Coturnix japonica: one gene and its partner. The protein of the gene in region 1 interacts with the protein of each later gene in a biochemical or structural test. Links are inferred from orthologs where the notes say so. Each region holds a gene or a part of one and is shown in the gene's direction. Other genes may lie near its edges.

Evidence for each region. The genes of interacting proteins can lie anywhere in the genome.
Region 2: the proteins of RET (region 1) and GRB10 form a complex in vitro, tested with the Homo sapiens proteins (2 studies listed by BioGRID). The link is inferred for Coturnix japonica from reciprocal best matches to the Homo sapiens genes RET and GRB10.

The regions. Positions count from the first base shown.
Region 1 is NC_029521.1:3,914,684-3,918,306, reverse strand, and holds part of RET (proto-oncogene tyrosine-protein kinase receptor Ret), read left to right. Parts: intron 1-1,999; coding exon 2,000-2,251; intron 2,252-3,623. UniProt on the Homo sapiens protein: Receptor tyrosine-protein kinase involved in numerous cellular mechanisms including cell proliferation, neuronal navigation, cell migration, and cell differentiation in response to glia cell line-derived growth family factors (GDNF, NRTN, ARTN, PSPN and GDF15).
Region 2 is NC_029517.1:49,779,048-49,783,174, forward strand, and holds the start of GRB10 (growth factor receptor-bound protein 10), read left to right. Parts: upstream 1-1,311; 5' UTR 1,312-1,443; exon of another isoform or gene 1,444-1,472; intron 1,473-1,575; 5' UTR 1,576-1,654; coding exon of another isoform or gene 1,655-2,170; intron 2,171-4,127. Other genes in the region: WAS/WASL-interacting protein family member 3-like, read right to left, coding at 213-1,133, 1,655-2,170.

The DNA.
Region 1 (3,623 bases):
ATCTTTCCCAGTGCTTGAAATGGGATTAAAGAGTGGCATGAAGCACTTAACAAAATCCCAGCATTTTCAATATCAGCAGCATGGGATGAATCTTGTTACGATAACATGGCTAAGTCAAATTTATCTTTCTATTTTTTTTTTTTTTAAAGCCATCTAACTTTCTACATTGCTGTAAAGAGTTCTGATTTGAGGTACTTGTTTTCTGAGTGAAACATGAAACTAATTAATATCCACTTAAGCCACAGGTTGTGTCCCCTTTGTCCTTCCTCACATTAGAGCTGTTCACCCTGGTCTTAGAAATAAGTATTCCTCCATCCTATTGCTAATGTTGTGAAAGTCTCACTTGCACACATCAGTGAGTTCTATCTATCTATTTACTTACTTATCAATCTCTTTTCATTGAGCACTGAATACCTGGTATAGAATTTCTTGCGAGGAAGTTTTTACAAATCTAGAATCGCAATCTCATAGAAAATACCCGAAGGGTATTTGCACCGGGGCTGGGCCTTCTCTTTGGATATCACCCGATACCTTTCATTAATGGACCTGTTTGTTAGGAGTCCTGGTGGTGTGGATTCCCCATCCTTTCCTGCACTTCCAAAAAGAGGCAGGCAGCAGGGCTGGAAAAAGATTGGAAATGCATTAAGAATGCTCAGGTAATGGGGTCAGAGTGAGAAGTAATTGTTTTCTACTCGATAAGGGGCTCTAGGAGCTACTGGTTAAATTGCTTTTCTAAAACTCCAAGAAGGGTTTTTGTTGGTTTGCTTTTGAATTAATTACTCTGGAGCAAAGTCGCCTACTGCATCGCTTTACTACTTTATTCACATATTGCAAAGCATTTGTTGAACAAGTAATGGGGTCCTGTAGATCACATGGATGTAATTGCATCCAGGGATACTAATGATGTCATGAAACATTGCAAGGTAGAGTGGTTTCTGTGGTGTTTCTGAAGGAAATGAGAGGTCTCTCATTCAGAGTTTGTTTGTCATTCTCTCCATTCAGTAAAATAGCATATGAGTCTAATAGCAATATAAAATAAATGATACATCCTGGTAGTATTTGGAAGATGTTTTGGCTTTATATCCAAACTGTTACTGCTTTGCTGCCATCATTTCCATTTCTACCTGGCTTGCTTTTAGCTAAAACAGTCCCGTCTTTGTACCATGTGGAAATTATTTTCATTCGTTCAGCAGATGTATGAGCCTTTTACATGTCTTACTCCTTATCAAATCAGATTATATGATAAAAAAAACTCTGCAGAATGTTCTGCAAGTGATCTGTTGTGTGGGAGCAACCACGGGCAGTAGGTGCAGATGGAGGACATGTGTGACAGCTCCAGTACTTCAGTGCATGCCAGTATCACTGTTTACATATGTTGCAGGTGGGATATCTTTGCAGTTCATTCTAACATCAGTTTGCCAGTGCACCCAAACAAGATATCAGTCTTTTTCAGCCTGCTGCAGTGGATAGAGATGTTGGCCTGTCTCTTTGTGATTCTGAAAGTCCCACCCAAATCTTACTTATCTTCAAATGAAAGACTTTATTTTTAAATGTGAAGGCATCATTCTGTTTAATGACCATATTGCAATCCAGGACTCTGTCGGGCTACTCAGTATTTCTGACAACTCAGTCAGTCTGTTTACACTGGAAGAAGACCTGAGAGGTGTAGGTATGGACCTGGCAAGCATATGTTTTTTAAGTGTTCAGCTTTAACTGGGCTATGCTTATAGCAGAGCAGTTTCACTTTTAAGAAGTAGATGACTGTGCAACTTCAGCATGAACTATGAGCCAGGTCTTTGATGGCGATGTCCCTGGCTTGAGTGCAGCAAAACTGATTTATGCTAGATTAGGATCCGCATTACTCTCATCACTTTTAATGCTTCCTTAATCTTCACAGAATGGAGCCTTCAATTCTTTGCAAGCGTGTCTCTTAAGAAAATGCCAATGCAAAAATCTGTTAACTGGGATGAACTCTCCTGCTTTGTGCCTTCCTTTGCAGCTTCCTTTGGTCTGTACTTCCCCAGAAAGGAGTACTCAGAGAACGTCTACATTGACCAACCAGCAGGTACACCGCTCCTGCGCATCCACGCCCTGAGGGATTCACATGGGGAAACAGCCCACTTTCATCTGTGCCAGAATCTCATCATTTCTCGAGCGAGATCCCACGAAAATCACTGGTTTCAAATCAGAGAAAAAATGGGACTTCTCTACCTCAGCAGGAGTCTAGATAGAGAAGACTTTAACATGCTGTGTAAGTATAAGAAGACTAATTTTTCTAGTGGAAATTTCTGTTGTTAAAGCATCTTCAGATCATGAGATTTATCCTTCAGCAATAAACACTGAATTCAGAAAAAAATACCCCAACGCCTATTTTAAAATGAAGAACCAGACCTAACAAAACCTGCAGGAAGCACAAGGAGATGCATACTGAAGCAAATGTTAATCTGAGACAGATCTGGTTACTCTCACTACGATACTGAGATTTTTTGTTTATTCACTTACTGATGCAAATTGAGCCAATTCCGCTGTGCCAATGTTGGGTGCTTTAGTGACTGCACAGTTGCAGTTAGATGACAGACTCTCACATAAACAGCCCTCAAACTTTGGCAACGCGGGCTCATGTGGATTTACAAATAATACCAGTGGTTCTTGGAAGAGGTGGCTGTGTACCTCTCTGTCCCTCTGAAGATACAGCCTTGTTAAGGGACTTACTGTTCAGCTACAGAAATGGGTTATCTCAGGCTTTTCCTCCTCTTTTGTGCTCTGTCAGTAAACTGGTCCTGGTGATTTTGATCCATGAGGAAATTATCTTTCGATGATGGAGAAGGAAATGGATGAGATGCTAATGGCACACTGCTGTGATCAGTTGCAGAAATTCTGCTGTTGGACAGCCTGTACCAAGTGATGAGTTGGAGGGCCATAAATCGACACTACTCTTTGACTGAGGTGCCTTGATGTTTAAATGTTCATCTTCAAGGCACTTACTGTTTCGTTTGTTTAGTGCTTAGTATCTCATCCTTTTCCTCTGCATTTTGGATACTAATAAATATCAGATACCCATTTGTAACTGGGCAAGGGAAGAACAGCTATCTGTGACTTGAAAGTCTTAGGGCTTCTTGTTTTGTTCATATCATGGTGACCTATAGAGCCTTTCCGAGTGAATTACATCTGCCGCAGAGATGTTATCATTCTGTCTGTAGTCAAATGCTGCTAATCAAAATAATTGAGTCTTGAGGGTATTAGTAGATGCCACAAGTTGATTTACATGTCTGTGTTTATCCTTTGGCCAGCTCTTTATATTTCAGAATGATTAAGCAGATTGCGCTCTAAACAATTTAGTCCATACCTTCAACTGCTATAAACTGTCACAACACTGTGATTTCATTGACAAAAGTCTTGAGTCTGTTTGTTGCCATTTTGCACTCTTTTCCCCCACTGCAACCCTACTAGTCCCTTAAAACAACAACAACAAACAGTCAAAAAGCTTATTACCAGCAGTGACTTGTTGTATATTAGTGTCTTACATGCAGATCACTGGTATCATTTAGTGAGGTTCTATAACTTAAAACTTGTGGCATGACACCTATTAGTTTTTAGCTTTTTGGGGTTACTAGGTTTAAGAT
Region 2 (4,127 bases), on another chromosome or scaffold:
GAAGGGTGATCCTCTGGGATGGAAATACTGACAACAACAAACATATCAGTGTCGTTACGTGGCTATAGGATATGCCAGGGCAAAGAGCATTGAACTATATGCAACAGAGGTGAGCACTGAAGTCTTTGGCCATGCCCATGGCAGGAGAAAAGCACGAACTGGTGATGGGGAAGTCCATGGCAAAAACCCTGGCCAAGTCCAACAAGTACTGCTTATACTTTGTATGTGATGGAATCGAGTGTGAGTATGTGCGGCCACGATGCCAGGTATGCAGGTCCTGGTACCAGACAGGATGGAGGTGACTCCATCTTCAGAGCATAAGCAGTGGCTGGTGGAAAGTCAAGGCAGGCTAAGGTGGCAGCGGGATGACAGAGGCGACCTGGGTCCAGGGCATGGCGGTAGTATGGGATGGGGTGGATGCCAACACTGTGTGGACATCTGGGAGGTGGCCAAAGGCAGAGCGGTGCCAGGTTTGGCCAGTGATTGACTAGTGTAATGTGCGTGAGGAAATGGAGAGGTATAGAGCTGTCGGCAGGAGAGCAAGCAGGAGGAAGAGCTGAAAACATGAGGATGGGGAGAGAGAACTGGTAGAAAAACCATTCTCTTAAGTACAGTGAGGTACAGCAAAGGAGGAAGGCAGAATGAGAGCAAGGGAGGTGATACACTTCCAAACACACCGGGCTGAGGAGCTCAGCCCCGCGGTGCCATCGGGATGCGTCTGTGTGGCTTCGGGGAAAATACACAGAGGTTCCTCCCGATTCCCCTCGGTTCCTTCCATAGCGCTGGCCGCTCGGCAGTAGGGAACACACTGCTCGGGGAGCAGCTCGGGTTGCGCCGAGGTTCGCGATGCTCGGAGGGAAGCGGCCAACTTTGCTCTCGTAGGAGCTTTCTCTCGGTCCCGGACCGCTCGGAAGTGACACCCAAGGAGCGCGCACCGAGCGCAGCCGGCACAGCAGCCCGGAGCGCGGCTGGCAGCGGGTCGGTCGCGGCTCTGCACGGCACGGGGTCAGAGCTCCGGCAGCCCATCCTCGGGGGCAGGTCGGAGGGGGGAGGTTCAACACAGTCCCCGGCCAGCCCCACACTCGCAGATGCCCCGGGGCGTCCCTCCGGCTCCCGCAAAGGACTCTCCCGCGCTACCTGTGCGCGTGCTTTTGTTGGAGGCCCTCCGGCCCCGACCCTCAGCTCCTAAGGGCGCTGCGGCGGCTCAGCCGCCCGACCCCTGCCCTCGGCGGCGGCACCGCGGCGCGGGCCGGGGCTGCGGCTGCGTGCGGCGGGGGCGGGCGCGGGGCGGGGCGGGGCGGGGCGCCGGCGGGAGTCAGCTGGGCGCGGGGCGAGCGCGCGGCGGCGACGGGGCGCCGTTAGTAGAGGGAGCGGTGGCGGCAGCAGCGGAGCGGGTAGAAGTTTTTCCCCGCTGAGCCCTCCCGCAGCCCGGGGCCGCCTTAGGTAGGCTCGGAAGTCCCCGTGCGTGCTGGGTGTGTTTTTGGTTTTATGTTTTTAATTTTAATACATAATTTTTATTTTTTTTTTGGTTGCTTTCTAAGATTTTTTTTTTTTTCTTTTTAATTTTGTTGTAAGTTTTGCTTTCCGAAACGCGTGTTCTTGTGGGAGCCCCGGCGACACGAAGACCACCCCCATCCCCGCCGGAGCCGCTCACGACCCCCTTCCTCCGAGCCCCGGAACTCGGCGGGCCGCGGGCGGGCGGGTGCTGGCCGGCAGCCCTGCAGGTAAGGGCCGGGGGGAGCCGGGGGGCGGCGCCGGGGCCGCGGAGCGGCTTTGCCTGCTCTTCGGCGGTAGAGGCCGGGGGAGGAGGAGGAGGAGGGGAGCAGACTTCCTTTTCCTGGGGCCGCCGGCGCCCCTCGCCGAGCCCCGTGCCCGCGGGCAGCGGCCCGAGCCGGCTTCGGCGTGGGGCGGGTTGCGGACCTGTCCCGGTAACTCGTGGCCGCGCTGCCGGCGCACGGCGGCTGATGGGGGGGGGCCCTTGGAGCCTTCCGAGCACGCGGCTCTCCCCTCGCGTAACTGCGGGAGCGCCGCTGTGGCATCTCTGTAAGCGCAGTTTGCAGTTAATGGGTTTGGCAGGCGAACTCGTGCAGAATCCTCCTGCCCACTTGTGCTGCCGAAGTGCCAGCGCCCCCGCCCCCCTTTTTCCCTGCTCTCCTTTGAAGCCTCGCATAACTCCGTACTGCCAGCGGGACGGAAAGTGCTGATTCAGCAGCCCCGGAGCCCTGCTCCATCTGAAGTGGTGGTCTGCCCAACGCGTTCCTATTTGTCGAAGCGGGAACATGTGCCGCTGGTGTGTCAGAGCGGCACTGATGGGGTTTTCTCAAACAGCCCCAAGAACGTGGCTTACTTTTCCTTAGGAAAGAGTGACTTCGGGGAGGGAAGGGGGTGAACAACCGGCATTGAAGCGGTGGGATGTGGGAAGCCAATACATTTGGATGGAGTGTGATGCCCCATAAAGGTGCCGAGCAGTTCCTTGCTTTAACAAAGACTTGGTGGGGCGTACGGCAGTGATGCCCTAATGCTCCAGCTCGATCTATTCCTGCGTCCGGAGGCTCATTGTACTTAGAGCACCAGAAAAGGTATGGAGAAGGGCAGCGAGGCTAATCCTGGGATTAAATGGAGTGAGTTATGAGGGCAGGTTAAAAAACAAGAAAAAAAAAACACAAAACAAACATATGGAGATTAGAAAACCTGCGTGGAAAAGGGAAATGTGCTGGAAACTTGATGTGACGGCTCTGGCTGTGCTTCCCAGCCCTCCAGGCACTGGGAGGGTGCCGGGCTGGCAGCGTGCTGCTCTGTCCGAAGGGCTCACTTAACGGCACTGCACGAGAGTAGAGCTTTGCAGGAGCTCCTCTGGCTGGCTTTGCATGGTTACGTGCTGATACTGAGGGCTGGCTTTCTCTGAACCAGAACGCTTTAAAATTCTATGCAGCGCAGAGCAAACAATAAAGCCTAGAGAGCGGTGTTTGGTAGCCTTGTTCCAAGTGCTAAATGGACAGAGCGGTGGACCCTGTTGCTTCATACAGTGGTTGTTTTACCGCGTTATGCTCTGATTTATTTTCTTTGCTTGGACTTTTATTTGTTCTTAAAGTAGGTCTTGTTTGCCCTGGCTACCTGTTAAAGATCTTGTGGTACTTCATGGCTTTCCTTGGTTTTGTTAATCAAAATATCCCCTCCCTTACTGCTGTGTGAGTTGGCTTTCATCCTTAGATATGTCCACACCTGGGTTTCAGTAATGTACTTCTATAAGTTTTTACTGTATAGTCCAAAAGTGCTGCCTAAATGCAAACGGATCTGTTTCGTAGTTCTGCTTAAGACTATACCGCGTGCTTTGTGAATAAAACATACATTTGCAACTATCTTGAGAGCACCTAAATGGCTCTGACTCTAGCAAGAACTGTCACAAAGGTTTTAGGAGATCCTTGGTTGTGTTCTCAGCAGCACTCTGGGTATAAATGGGCTAAAAGTATCTGGATCTCTTTGGCAAAGGGATTCTTCTGACGTGGGGAGTTCCCAGCTGGCAGAGGAAAGGCATAGCTGGGTCATGTGCCATTTCTGCCAGCAACAGGAGAGTATTGTGCTGGGAGCTTGTTTTCTGACAGTATTGAACTAGTAGATGGCCCTCTAGACAGCAAGGCATGGGCAGCTTATTCCTGCACACATGGCTGTGGAGTTGAGTGGACTCCTGCAGAGTGTGGCATGGGATGGGACAGTGCTGTCACATCTCCCTGCTGTTGTATCCCCGTCTGTGCCATGGGCATAGAGGTTTACAGTGATGTGTGAAACAAGGACGGGTTTGTAGGGAGATCTCTTTCTTAAACCAAAGAGCTTTCTTGTGGGAGGTTGAGTGCGGGGGATTTGTTTTCAGAGGACTTGTTTTCAGAGGCAGAGTAGTGCTGGAAGCTTGGGAAGTGGGAGATGGATGGGTGCCTCTTTGATAACCAGTGGTGTGCATTTTTGGGATGCACGTAAGTATTTGGTCAGGTACAAATTTCAGTGGTTACAGCAAACAGCGTATGGGGGGAAAAACCTTGCCAGCTTCTGCATGATATACTGTGGAAGCCTGAAATTTGGGCTGATTTCAGGTAAAAACTGTTGGGGATAATAGTTCTGCTGTATTCCTGGGC